3 linked regions of the Tribolium castaneum genome follow. The protein of the gene in region 1 purifies or fractionates together with the protein of each later gene. This does not show direct contact. Links are inferred from orthologs where the notes say so. Each region holds a gene or a part of one and is shown in the gene's direction. Other genes may lie near its edges.

Region 1 (3,073 bases):
TAACAGAATTTTCTGCCAATTTTTCGAGTTCCTTCTTGTCGTGCTCCATATTAATGATAAGTTGTTTGTAGTTTTCTGTGAGCTCTGACAAGCGTTGAACCATATCTTTCATATCTTCCTGTAACAAAGTTGGTATTTGGAAACGTTCCTTTTCAAGGAACTCATTTAAATCATTGAACAACTGCAGCAAATCCAAGTCGGGAGTATTTTCTTTATCAAGTTCCAGTTGATTATCATTCATTATGACATCCAGGAGCTCGTTTGCTCTCTCACACATGCTTTTAATATTTTCCATTTGTGCCATTTTTCCTTGCAACTTTTCCAAATCAATTGATTCGAGATTTTTCTTTTTCTCTTCGTCTAACGCCTTGGTGACTTCGGCCATTTCCTGTCTTTTAATCCTCTCCACTTGCTCCACAATTCGCTGGGCTTCTGCAAATGCCTCTGCCGAGAATTTGTGGAAGTTGGTGGCAGTTTCTGACGTTCTTTTTTTTATAACTGACGTTGTTCTATTCAAGTTTTCTATAATTATTGCATTAACGGCTGGATTTTTACAAGGTCTGATGGGAGACAATAATTTGCCCTCTTTCATGTTCTTTTTTAAATGCTCATGCAAGACGAACGTCGACAATTTAAACATGAATTTGGCCACCTTTATGCCACCAGGTGAAACAAAAAGAGATGGCATTAGCTTAGGAATGTTCGCCGCTTTGTAATTTTCATTCAAGTAATCAACAAATGCCACCACCTCTTGTCTAAACTCTCGCTCTCCTTTGGTGTCGTATGGGGGCCAGGATTTGAGCTTTTCTCTGGTCAACTCAGGACTTAGGACATTGAAAAGGTAGTTGGTGACTTGTTGGAAGGCTGCCTTGTTATTTTTTTTAAACATATCTTCCCTGAAAACCTCATGGAAGTCTTGGGTTGGTGGATAAACATAAGTTAATTGCTTAATGTTTGCGAAAAGTTTCTCGTGGATTATGGCTTCGTAACCTTGCAAATTTATCACAGAGAATGACGCCATTCTGTGCTAAAACAATAAAATTATTCAAAAGTGAAGATTATACTTAACAAATTGTATCTTACAAAGAACAAATAAGCTTCAAAAACACGACTTTTTTAAACTAAAGACCAGTAACTTTAATTGACCACGACCAACGTCAGAAAAATAAATCACCAGACGGACGATTTTTTTATTAAAAACAGACGTTTTTTAACTGTTTTTTTATTTTAATTGACACACAAGTTGGGAGGAAGCTTAAGTTTAGTAAAAAATTTATTTTTGTGTACGTTTGTTTGACGAATTTCCGAATTATTAAGCAGCAAGGCCGCCAATATACACAGCATAAAAGCCCAGTTCGTTCCCATTTAAGGTTAAGTTTCTGTCAGTTTGACGTTCAAGATGTCGCGTCAGCAACACGACGACGAATTATTTGAAATAAAAAACTTCTACTACATTGGAAATTATCAGCAGTGCATAAATGAGGCACAAAAACTGCGCAAGGTTTTTACCACTTTTCCATAATTAGCTTGCTCAATATTTTTTCCAGCCCTCGACCCCCGAGGTGGCCATCCAACGCGACATTTTCACCTACCGCTCATACATGGCCCAGAACAAATTCCTGGTAGTGCTGGACGAAATCAAGCCGTCCTCACCCGAGGAAATCCAGCCCTTAAGACTCCTGGCTGAATATTTATCCTCCAAACAAAAACGCGAGTCTATTGTCGCCCAAATAGACCAGAAGCTGGCCTCCAACGTCGAAAGTGACACTCTTGCACTTGTGGCCGCGACAATATACGTTAATCAGAACAATCTAGAGACGGCATACCGCGTTTTGCACGCGTCTGAAAGCTTGGAGGCTTTGGCTTTTATTATTGATATTTTGCTGAAGATTGATCGCGTTGATTTGGCCAGGAAGAAGTTGAAGGAAATGCAGGAGAAGGACGACGATGCCACGTTAACGCAGTTGGCACAGGCGTGGGTCAATAACGCGAGTGTAGGTCGCAAAATTATTAATAATTAACCACTAATTTGTGTTGTTAAATATTTTTTACAGGGTGGGGAAAAGCTGCAAGACGCCTATTATATCTATCAGGAATTGGTTGAAAAATATGGGGCTACACCTTTGCTGCTTAATGGCCAAGCTGTGGCTCTTCTAGGTCAGGGGAAGTATGAGGAGGCGGAAGCTGCTCTACAGGAGGCTTTAGACAAAGATGCTAATTATCCAGACACTTTGATCAATCTTATCGTTTTACATAAACATACAGGGAAAACGCCTGAAGTAATTGATTGTCAAATTGTTTGTAACATTTTTTGTTAATTATTTTCTTTGTTTTAGATTGCAAGTAGGTATTTGTCTCAGTTGAAAGACGCTCAACCAGATCATCCATACATTAGAGACTTAAAACAGAAAGAAAGTGAATTTTCAAGGATTTGTAAACAGTATGGTCCTTCAGTTTCAACCATTCCGACGTAAAATGTGTGAAAAAGTTATTATTTGCTGTAAAAAAATTATATAACGTTTAAGTTAATTGTATTACATGAAAAATAAAGCCCATAATCAATTATAGTTTTTATTGATTTAAACCCAATGATACATCCACATTCCATAAACGTAATTCGTTTTTTCCCAAAACAATCCGAAACCGTTGATATTAAAAAAAAATGACTAAAAAAATTGAAATAAGTCAGGAGTATTAAAATATTCGGTGACAACAGTTATTGCAAAAGAAAGTTCCAAATACGGCTACAAAGTACAAAATAGAAAAAATGTGTACTTACTTTTTTGTTTTTGGCATCATTTTAAACTATAAGACAATTAATTTCCATTTTCTGCAAGCAATAACCGTCTTAAATATTCCAATGTTGAATTTATTGTTAAATGTTTGGTACACCATAAAACTCAAATTGGTGATTTTTTCAACAAATTTCTTAAAAAGTAAGCCAATAAACCACATAATTATGTCAAAAAGGACATTATTTTTGCAAGTTTTGAGAATTTTAAACCGAAAATAATCTTTTTTCCTTATTTTTATTAAACTAGAACACAACAGTCACCAAATTTGGTCGAAAATG
Region 2 (4,158 bases), on another chromosome or scaffold:
ACCATACGATAAAAGTGGTTACTACATCATTAACTGCTTTAAAAATGTGATCATTTTTCAATAACATTTTTTTCAAAATTCCTTTAGGTTTTTGAGTTTTTCAAAACAATAAATAAAAAGCTTCATTTTTTGCCAAAAAAATCGCCGTAGTAGGGAAGCATTTGATATAATAGCTCTAAAACTAAAAAAAACTTCGAAAAAATGTAAAAAGACGTCAAAAAGTTTTCACAATAAAAAATATAGTAATTATTCACCTGGCCGCCTGTTTGCGCCGTGACCACCATGGGGGCGCGCACCGACGCCACGTTGCTGCGAGGGGCCGCCAAATTCGCCACGACTGCGGGCCCCCGTGGGACATGGTAATTAGTACCACATGGTACCACCGGAGTTGTCGAAAGGGTGATTTGGGTGGGTCTTTGAATAGTGATGTTAGCAGCACTCGATTGCGGCTGACTCGTCGTCAAAATACTCGCAATTTGAGTCCTTGCAGCATCTAAAAAACAAACACAGTCACACAAATCACATGGCTTCGGACACACCAACCTGGCTTAAACACGGTGGGGACAATATTAGTTGTGATTATTGTTTGGGCGTTGGAAGAAGCCTGGCCCGAGTTTGGTGGCGTTCCCTGAGTCAGGACACGCACTCCACGCAAGCCTTGATTCGTCATCAACAAGGGGGCTTTCCCTTCCACTGTCCGAACGGTGGTTATTTGGGTCCTGGCCAAATCCAGAGGCAAGGACTTGTGGGACTCCTTGCCCTCGTCACTCATATTTCGCAGGTTTTAAATTTACCCATAAAAAACTTTATTTGTTACGTTAAACGCATCTGCATTAAAACTGAACAGAGGGTAATTAGGAGGTTTTGCAAAGTGTAAAAATGAAACCTTGGCAGCTTTTTGGCAATTTTTCGGAACAAAATAACATGGTTTTTTGGTTAAACTTAAGACTAAGGTTTGCACTTAAAAAATCTACAATAATAGACTACAACAACACCACAAAACGCAAATTCCGAACTGACGCCATTGCTCGCGCTGTCAAAGGAACGTCGCCCCATTGCCTCAAATACGCATTTGGGACAACAATCACCACATCAAATCTAAAATAACGTTAATTAACGTAAATTAAAATGCAGAATTTTGGCACAGCTAGACGTCGTTAGTACCAATAAAAATGCCCGTGTTTAAGTAGTTTTGTATTGTAATAAATTAAATTATAACTAATGAGATAGGGCACAATTTTGTCAAAAATAATTATTTAATTATTTTATAATTATTTCTATAGGTTAATAAACCATTGTTAAATAAAACAAATTGCTTTTTTTGTTGTAGTAATTTAAACTAATTTGTTAGACGGGTTTTCGCAGTTTTTGGACAAATCCACCTCGCCAAACGTCAACGTCAAGCCAAGTTGTCGGGCCACGTATTTTGGTTGTTTTTTAAATGGCAAGTCGTGTTTTCTATCAAACCCCTCAATAGAAAAGTAAATTGTTGATATCTACACCTTTACCATGGTAAGAGGGTTGCGTTTGGTGTCCCCGCTTTTGGTTAACCTAAATTTTATAGCCCCTCCGTCTGGACATCAAACGCAAACTTACGGCGCGTTCCGACCGTGTAAAATGCGTCGACTTGCACCCGACCGAGCCCTGGATGCTCTGCTCGCTATACAGCGGCAATATAAACGTCTGGAATCACGAAAATCAACAACTAGTCAAAACCTTTGAAGTTTGTGATTTACCAGTACGTGCCGCAAAATTCGTACCCCGCAAGAACTGGGTGATTGCCGGCTCGGACGACATGCAAATTCGTGTTTTTAACTATAATACACTGGATCGTGTACATGCTTTTGAGGCCCATTCGGATTATGTGCGGTGTATTGTGATCCACCCCACACAGCCTTACATCCTCACAGGGAGCGGTGAGTTTTTAGTAACACCAAAGCCAGTGGATATGCTCAAGCAGCGTTAGAGACCTTGACAGGTCACAAGTAAAGATTGGACACTCCAGAGAGGACTTATACCACATTACTTACGTGAAAGGCTCACCCTTAAAAAGGCTTATTAAGTGCATTTTTGTCCAAATTTTACGCTTAATTGTAAAGAAATAAAATTGTTAAAGGGTATGCTCAAAAGAGGTGTTTATTAAAGCTCACGTCATGTGTTAGATTTGTATAGAAAATGTATATAAACAGGCACTTTACTTTTGTAAGGCCCGACATTTTCTGAAATCACGCTGCAATTTTGAACATTCGTCAAAAGTCTCAAGACTGTCTCACCTTTGAGAAATTGGTAAAGAACAGAGTAATTTTGGTGTTAATCTGTAGTTTCACTCTGGTTATTGCTTTTTATATGAACAGATTCCATGGAATCTTCAAACTTATGCTTCAATCACGTAAATAATAAATCAACACCAAAAACATTAAAGAAAATCGTCCACATTATGAAGCATTTTGTGTGAGAATACTGGAAACTCATTCAAACAAGAATTGTTTCGGAAACATAAAGTGTTAGGTATTGACTTGAATGAGAAATTTCTGAGATACCAAATTTTTATTATGTATTTTAGCTGGATTTAAATAATAGTTCTTTGAAAATTCATTCTAAATTATTAGATTCCGCCCTAATGGGAAATAATTTAAGACTGCTCTGCTTACATTGATCTACGTTTCACAATATTTGAAGCATCTAAGTATGGAAATTATTAAACATACTCATGATATTGTTGAGACCATAAGTTTTTATAGCCACTTGCATCAACAATATTATTAAAAATTTAAATTATAAAGAACAATTTGGGTTGTATGATTTGTTAGGTAATATCGAAGTATAAACTGCACCCCAAATTTTGTACACCAGATTTACTCAAGATTTTCTCTGATTTAATAATGATTTTCCCTGGTTTCTTCAATTTTGTACATTGATTTTCTCTGCGGATTACCTCTAGTTCTCTTTGAAAATTATTTCTCATCAACACTAAGTGTTAAAGAGAAAATAAAATACTTTTGGCCATGTAGTGGACACTTGGGAGTAAAGAATGAATTGTTGATGGGAAATTTTTTTCTTAGAGTTCTAGATTAGATTTTATTAGATTTTTTTTTCAGTTTTCAAAATTATTTTCTGAATTAATAAAGCAGTTGCCGTATTTTAAAAGACTCTCTAAAAGATCTTAGACTATCATCATACAATCCTCTCAATCGCCACAAACCTGACAGATATTTGAACATTTTTCACCCATTTTCCAGAAAATCAACCAACAATTACGACTAATTCCTCTTCTAAATTTTGGCGTGAACTTCGCGAAAACATCTGAGAATTTTTGTCATGTTTTGATAAACTTAGTCATTGTCACTTCCCAGTAAACATTTTTTAGGTCATAAACATTACTGAAATCAATGTTTTGTTAAATGAAACATTTGACCTTTGAGCATAGTTTGTTAATGAAACGTCTGGGAAACAACAAATATTTTCTTCTTGATATGATTCACTAGAAACATTTCATTGAAATTTCTATGGTATATTTCACTCACTTTCAGGATGGTATAAGAAACATTTAAACAATATCATGTTGTAGAACTAAAATATATTATTTATATAAAAAACAGAAACAAATATAATTTCAACAAAACAAAATATATAAAAAATTCATTGTGACAAATATTTTTTCTTTATGAATTGTTGTCGTGCCTGCACATAATGATTTCGAATGAGGTGGTTGTATTTTGATAATTCCGCATGTTTTACATGTTATAGGCGATTATTGTGATATTGTTATATCACTTCGGTCTCATTATTATTGTTACGTGATTCCAAGTTTTTAAAAATAGCGATTATTGTAGTTATTGTAGACTAAAAAAAAGATTTATGTAAATCATCTAACAATACATGTTTCGTGTTTATTGGGTGAACAGTCAAAAACCATTTGATCTAAATATTGGACCAAATGCTTGATAAGCGGTTATGACGTCATAATTTCAGCCTTAAATCGAAATAACTTGAGTTAGAGAGCAGATACAGAGGAACGGTTTTCACTGTTGTAATAAGTGCTTTCAGTACTATTATTTATAATAAAGTTGTTTTTTAACTTGCCAATGTCTTTTTTGCTGAAAACAATGAATATTCAGTTTGATATACAAAGAACATAATTATTTTTCTTTTAACGGC
Region 3 (4,105 bases), on another chromosome or scaffold:
TATGTACAAATTTTTGAATACACTGTAACCACCTAAACGATAATTTTCAAACTAATCGGGGTATTGGAAAATATCGAACTGAAACACACTTGCGTCAGAAAAATGCCAGCAAATAATTGCTCAACAAGATGTGCAAACTGAAGGAAAATTCAAGAGCCAATCGAAAGAAGAGTAATAAAGTAAAGTAATTATTTAGTTTGAGATATTTACCAAACGCACTATTAATAATGGTTTACAGGTAGATAATAAATAACAGTTAATCGTGCTGGCTGATTATATTTGTTGATTATATCAGCTTAAAGTAATTAAAAGCTTCTTGCTAATACTCGTACCTAAAGTGTAAAAAATTAAGTAAACGAATGAATAACAATATCCGACAAATTATTGTGTTAATAAAAAATTATTGTTGTTTATTTTTCTCACATTTACAATTTTTTTGATTACCATTGATTACCTTTAAAAAATGAGAAAATAATATAATATATCGCACAAAAGTCAGACTAACACACGTTAATATTATTCTAATCTTAAATTTTTGAAATTTGACACTTTACTGTGGCATTTTTGTATTGTTTTCTATCTTTAATTAACATTTGCAGTAGCATACAGGAAAATACTATGTTTTTTTCATAGCCTTATCTTATGACTTTATGATAGACAAAGAATGGTTAAAATTTTTTACTTATTAATCAGAATGTAATAAAAAATAACTCTGGCCTATATTTTCGTGATCTGGTAGCCAAGATAAAAATTTTGGAATGTTTGATATTAAAAAAAATTTAAATTTTCAAAATACTTGCAATTTAATCACGATATTTTATTTAATCATTTTTATTGCACTAGCTATACTTAATACTCAAATAACCCAAACCACCCACCTTAGAAATAAAAATAACTTGTAATTCTAGGCCGCAATTTTTTTTTGATATTCAATCAATTTGTTCAGATACATATCTTTACAATATCATAATTTACTATAATCTATTAAGACAATTTAGTTTGCTGAAATATTCTTAGGCCATAGTGGATAATAAAAAACCGAAAATATTTTTTTTTAGTTAGATACAATTTATTATCTGGTTTATTTCTAAAATAATTACGTTTTTTTTTGCTTTTTTTCACATTCCTGTATTGCTATATTTTAGTAGGAACAAATTACTAAATAGCTGAAGCAACAAAAAATATAAAAATAGAGCAGTTATTGACTTATTTAGTTTGATTTTAAGTAACTTATGAGTAGAAACTGGAGCATTTTCGAATTTTGCGCCTAGAGCTGGTGCAGTGAATCGGCGTAAGGTTGGCTGACTGAATACGGTCACGTCACTGTTTTTCTCATTCAACAGCAAGCACAAGTCAACGTCATCTTAAAAAATTAATAGGGTGTAATGTTTTGTAAAATATTATTTTAGTTTTTAGGAACATAACAGCAACAGACCTTTCACAGTCTCTAAAATGGTGAGATAATCTTTCACACACCACACAAATCCAACCTTTCACAATTCCAATTTAAAATTTCCAAGTTGCCATTTTACGCATTTTCTCACGTTATAACATATGATTTCAGGTGCTCATAGCAGCGGCGGTCTGCACTAAGGCCGGTAAAAGTAAGTACCCCACATAAACCACCGAACCATGTGTTGCAACCTTTCTCTGCCTTTCCAGCCATAGTCTCTCGGCAGTTTGTTGAGATGACCAAAGCCCGCATTGAGGGTCTCCTGGCGGCTTTCCCCAAACTTATCCCAACAGGAACACAACACACCTTTGTAGAGACCGACTCGGTCCGATATGTATATCAGCCACTTGAGCGCCTTTACATGCTCCTGATTACCACAAGAGCTAGCAACATTTTGGAAGATTTAGAAACTCTGAGGTTGTTTGCGAAAGTGGTAAGCTGTCCAGACCCATGGAAGCCACAAAAACATCCTCACATTGTCATTATTTTAGATTCCCGAATATTGCCGCTCATTGGAAGAAAATGAAATTGCGGAAAACGCATTTTCCCTCATTTTTGCGTTTGATGAGATTGTTGCTCTTGGGTACAGGGAAAGCGTCAATTTGAGCCAAATTCGCACATTTGTCGAGATGGATTCACACGAAGAGCGGGTCTATCAGGCCGTCAGACAGGTAATAAAATTGCTAAACTGGTAAAATCATTTATTATCAAAGTTTGTACAACAACGGACACGGCTATTATTTCAAATTTGCTATTTCATGATTAGATTGCCTCACAGAAAATAAATTAACAACAGTTCTAGAAATTGTAATGCCAAAAAGTCGTAATTCCAGTTGGCAATACTGAATTCTAATTTTAAACAATGTAACTGAAGTATATTTCTGGTTAAGGTTTTGGATTCTGTCATCAGTGACAAAAAAAGGGAATTTTTTGGTTAAAAATTATTAAAGCCAAGAAGTTGTAATTTCAGATGGCAATACTGACTTTTAATTTTTAACCATGTAACTCAGTATATTTCCCGGTAAGATTTTGGATTCTGTCTTAAATGAAAGCGGTTTGAAAGAAATAAACAAAATGACAAGTTTTCAAAGATTTTGTGTTAGTCACAGCTCTTAAAGTAATTTTGGTAATAAAGCAAATAACTCAGTATTGCCAATAAATTTTTTAAGATGTTAAGTAAAATTCCTCCCAATTTTAAATTTTTATTTGAGGTATAAAATCAGATATAATAAATTTTTCGACACATTATTTCATAGTGACCCAGTAGAAGGTGAAATAAAAATTAATTTGCTGTTAAAAGTTAATTTAACAGTTAATTTGGTAAGTGATCACTGATCAGCTGTTCTAACGTTTAAGTGAACGAATTCATCGCTAATACCTGTCTCACTATTTTTTTTTGTTACCCTGATGGATTTTATGTTGAAAATTAATAATGGTATAATGAACATAAAAAGAATTGCTGTAAAATCTAGAGTTCTTATAATACCATAATAATATTCCGTTTCACATCAACATAAAGAGACTATGCTATTGTTTGTATAACTTGTTGATATACCTACCAGGTGAATAAAGAGAATGAAATCTAACGTGTTTTTTTTTGCTTAAACTATTTACTTTTTGGAAAAACTACTAGCAGTGTGATTAAAGAAAATGTTTATTTTTTTGTATGTGTAGTTTTTGAATTTTTTACGACCCACTTATTTATCCACTGGTTTAAAAACTATGAAAACTTAAAGACAAGCGTTATTAAATTTTTAAATTGCTTTTATTTACAATAAATTCAAGATTTAAAGTTTCACGAAAGGAAAAACATCTTATTCAGACAGAATGTTTAGCTTGGGCATAGAAAGCCATTTCCGATATTTCTGCACTTTTAAACCTCCTCACGGAGGTCTTAGGGCGAATAAAATAGAAACAGAAGACATGAGACATCTAACATTTGATAGAAAGCATAATATTTCTTTTAGAGCCCTTTCCTATAATTGAATTAAGGCATGCTGTTTGTATAGATTCGAAACCAATGTAATTTCTGATTTACGAACTGACTCCTCTTTAGACACAAGAACGCGAAGCTAAAAACAAAATGCGTGAGAAAGCTAAAGAATTGCAACGCCAGCGAATGGAAGCCAACAAAAAGGGCGTCAAACCATCATTTGGTAGCAGTGGAGGCTTTGGTAGCTCATCTGGTTATACTCCAGCCCCTTCAGTCGGCGATGTTGCCAATATTTCAAACGATATCAAACCACCAGCTTATTCCTCCGCTCCTCAGTATGTTAAAAACATCCAAAAAATTTTTTTTTAAATTGATTTAATAGGAAACCTTCGACTCGAGGAATGAAACTGGGTGGCAAAGGCCACGACGTTGAGTCTTTCGTAGACCAGCTTAAATCCGAAGGCGAAAATGTCATTGCACCAGTTAATAACAGTATTTCACAAGGGGGAATGAAAACACCAGCGATCAAGTCCGATATTAATGAGTAAGAAAATAAACAGAATAGAGTAGAAAGTGACTTGAATTATTTCCAGTGTTCACTTGAGACTGGAGGAAAAACTAATCGTTCGAATGGGCCGTGACGGCGGTGTGCAACAATTCGAGTTGTTGGGGTTGGTGACACTGCACATTGGGGACGAAAAGTGGGGGCGAATTCGTGT

What was found.
Region 2: the proteins of epsilonCOP (region 1) and beta'COP purify together in Homo sapiens (affinity purification with mass spectrometry; 4 studies listed by BioGRID and IntAct, with this or other methods). This does not show direct contact. The link is inferred for Tribolium castaneum from reciprocal best matches to the Homo sapiens genes COPE and COPB2.
Region 3: the proteins of epsilonCOP (region 1) and deltaCOP purify together in Homo sapiens (affinity purification with mass spectrometry; 4 studies listed by BioGRID and IntAct, with this or other methods). This does not show direct contact. The link is inferred for Tribolium castaneum from reciprocal best matches to the Homo sapiens genes COPE and ARCN1.

What each region holds. Positions count from the first base shown.
Region 1 is NC_087397.1:2,371,891-2,374,963, reverse strand, and holds epsilonCOP (coatomer subunit epsilon), read left to right. Parts: upstream 1-1,340; 5' UTR 1,341-1,399; coding exon 1,400-1,501; intron 1,502-1,547; coding exon 1,548-1,994; intron 1,995-2,054; coding exon 2,055-2,279; intron 2,280-2,336; coding exon 2,337-2,474; 3' UTR 2,475-2,563; downstream 2,564-3,073. Other genes in the region: uncharacterized protein LOC103315197, read right to left, coding at 1-1,021. UniProt on the Homo sapiens protein: The coatomer is a cytosolic protein complex that binds to dilysine motifs and reversibly associates with Golgi non-clathrin-coated vesicles, which further mediate biosynthetic protein transport from the ER, via the Golgi up to the trans Golgi network.
Region 2 is NC_087398.1:12,745,889-12,750,046, forward strand, and holds the start of beta'COP (coatomer subunit beta'), read left to right. Parts: upstream 1-1,352; 5' UTR 1,353-1,509; coding exon 1,510-1,512; intron 1,513-1,564; coding exon 1,565-1,916; intron 1,917-4,158. Other genes in the region: histone deacetylase complex subunit SAP130, read right to left, coding at 255-493, 544-772. UniProt on the Homo sapiens protein: The coatomer is a cytosolic protein complex that binds to dilysine motifs and reversibly associates with Golgi non-clathrin-coated vesicles, which further mediate biosynthetic protein transport from the ER, via the Golgi up to the trans Golgi network.
Region 3 is NC_087394.1:32,203,088-32,207,192, forward strand, and holds the start of deltaCOP (coatomer subunit delta), read left to right. Parts: upstream 1-1,299; 5' UTR 1,300-1,452; coding exon 1,453-1,455; intron 1,456-1,564; coding exon 1,565-1,604; intron 1,605-1,662; coding exon 1,663-1,886; intron 1,887-1,944; coding exon 1,945-2,124; intron 2,125-3,509; coding exon 3,510-3,721; intron 3,722-3,768; coding exon 3,769-3,930; intron 3,931-3,979; coding exon 3,980-4,105. UniProt on the Homo sapiens protein: Component of the coatomer, a cytosolic protein complex that binds to dilysine motifs and reversibly associates with Golgi non-clathrin-coated vesicles, which further mediate biosynthetic protein transport from the ER, via the Golgi up to the trans Golgi network.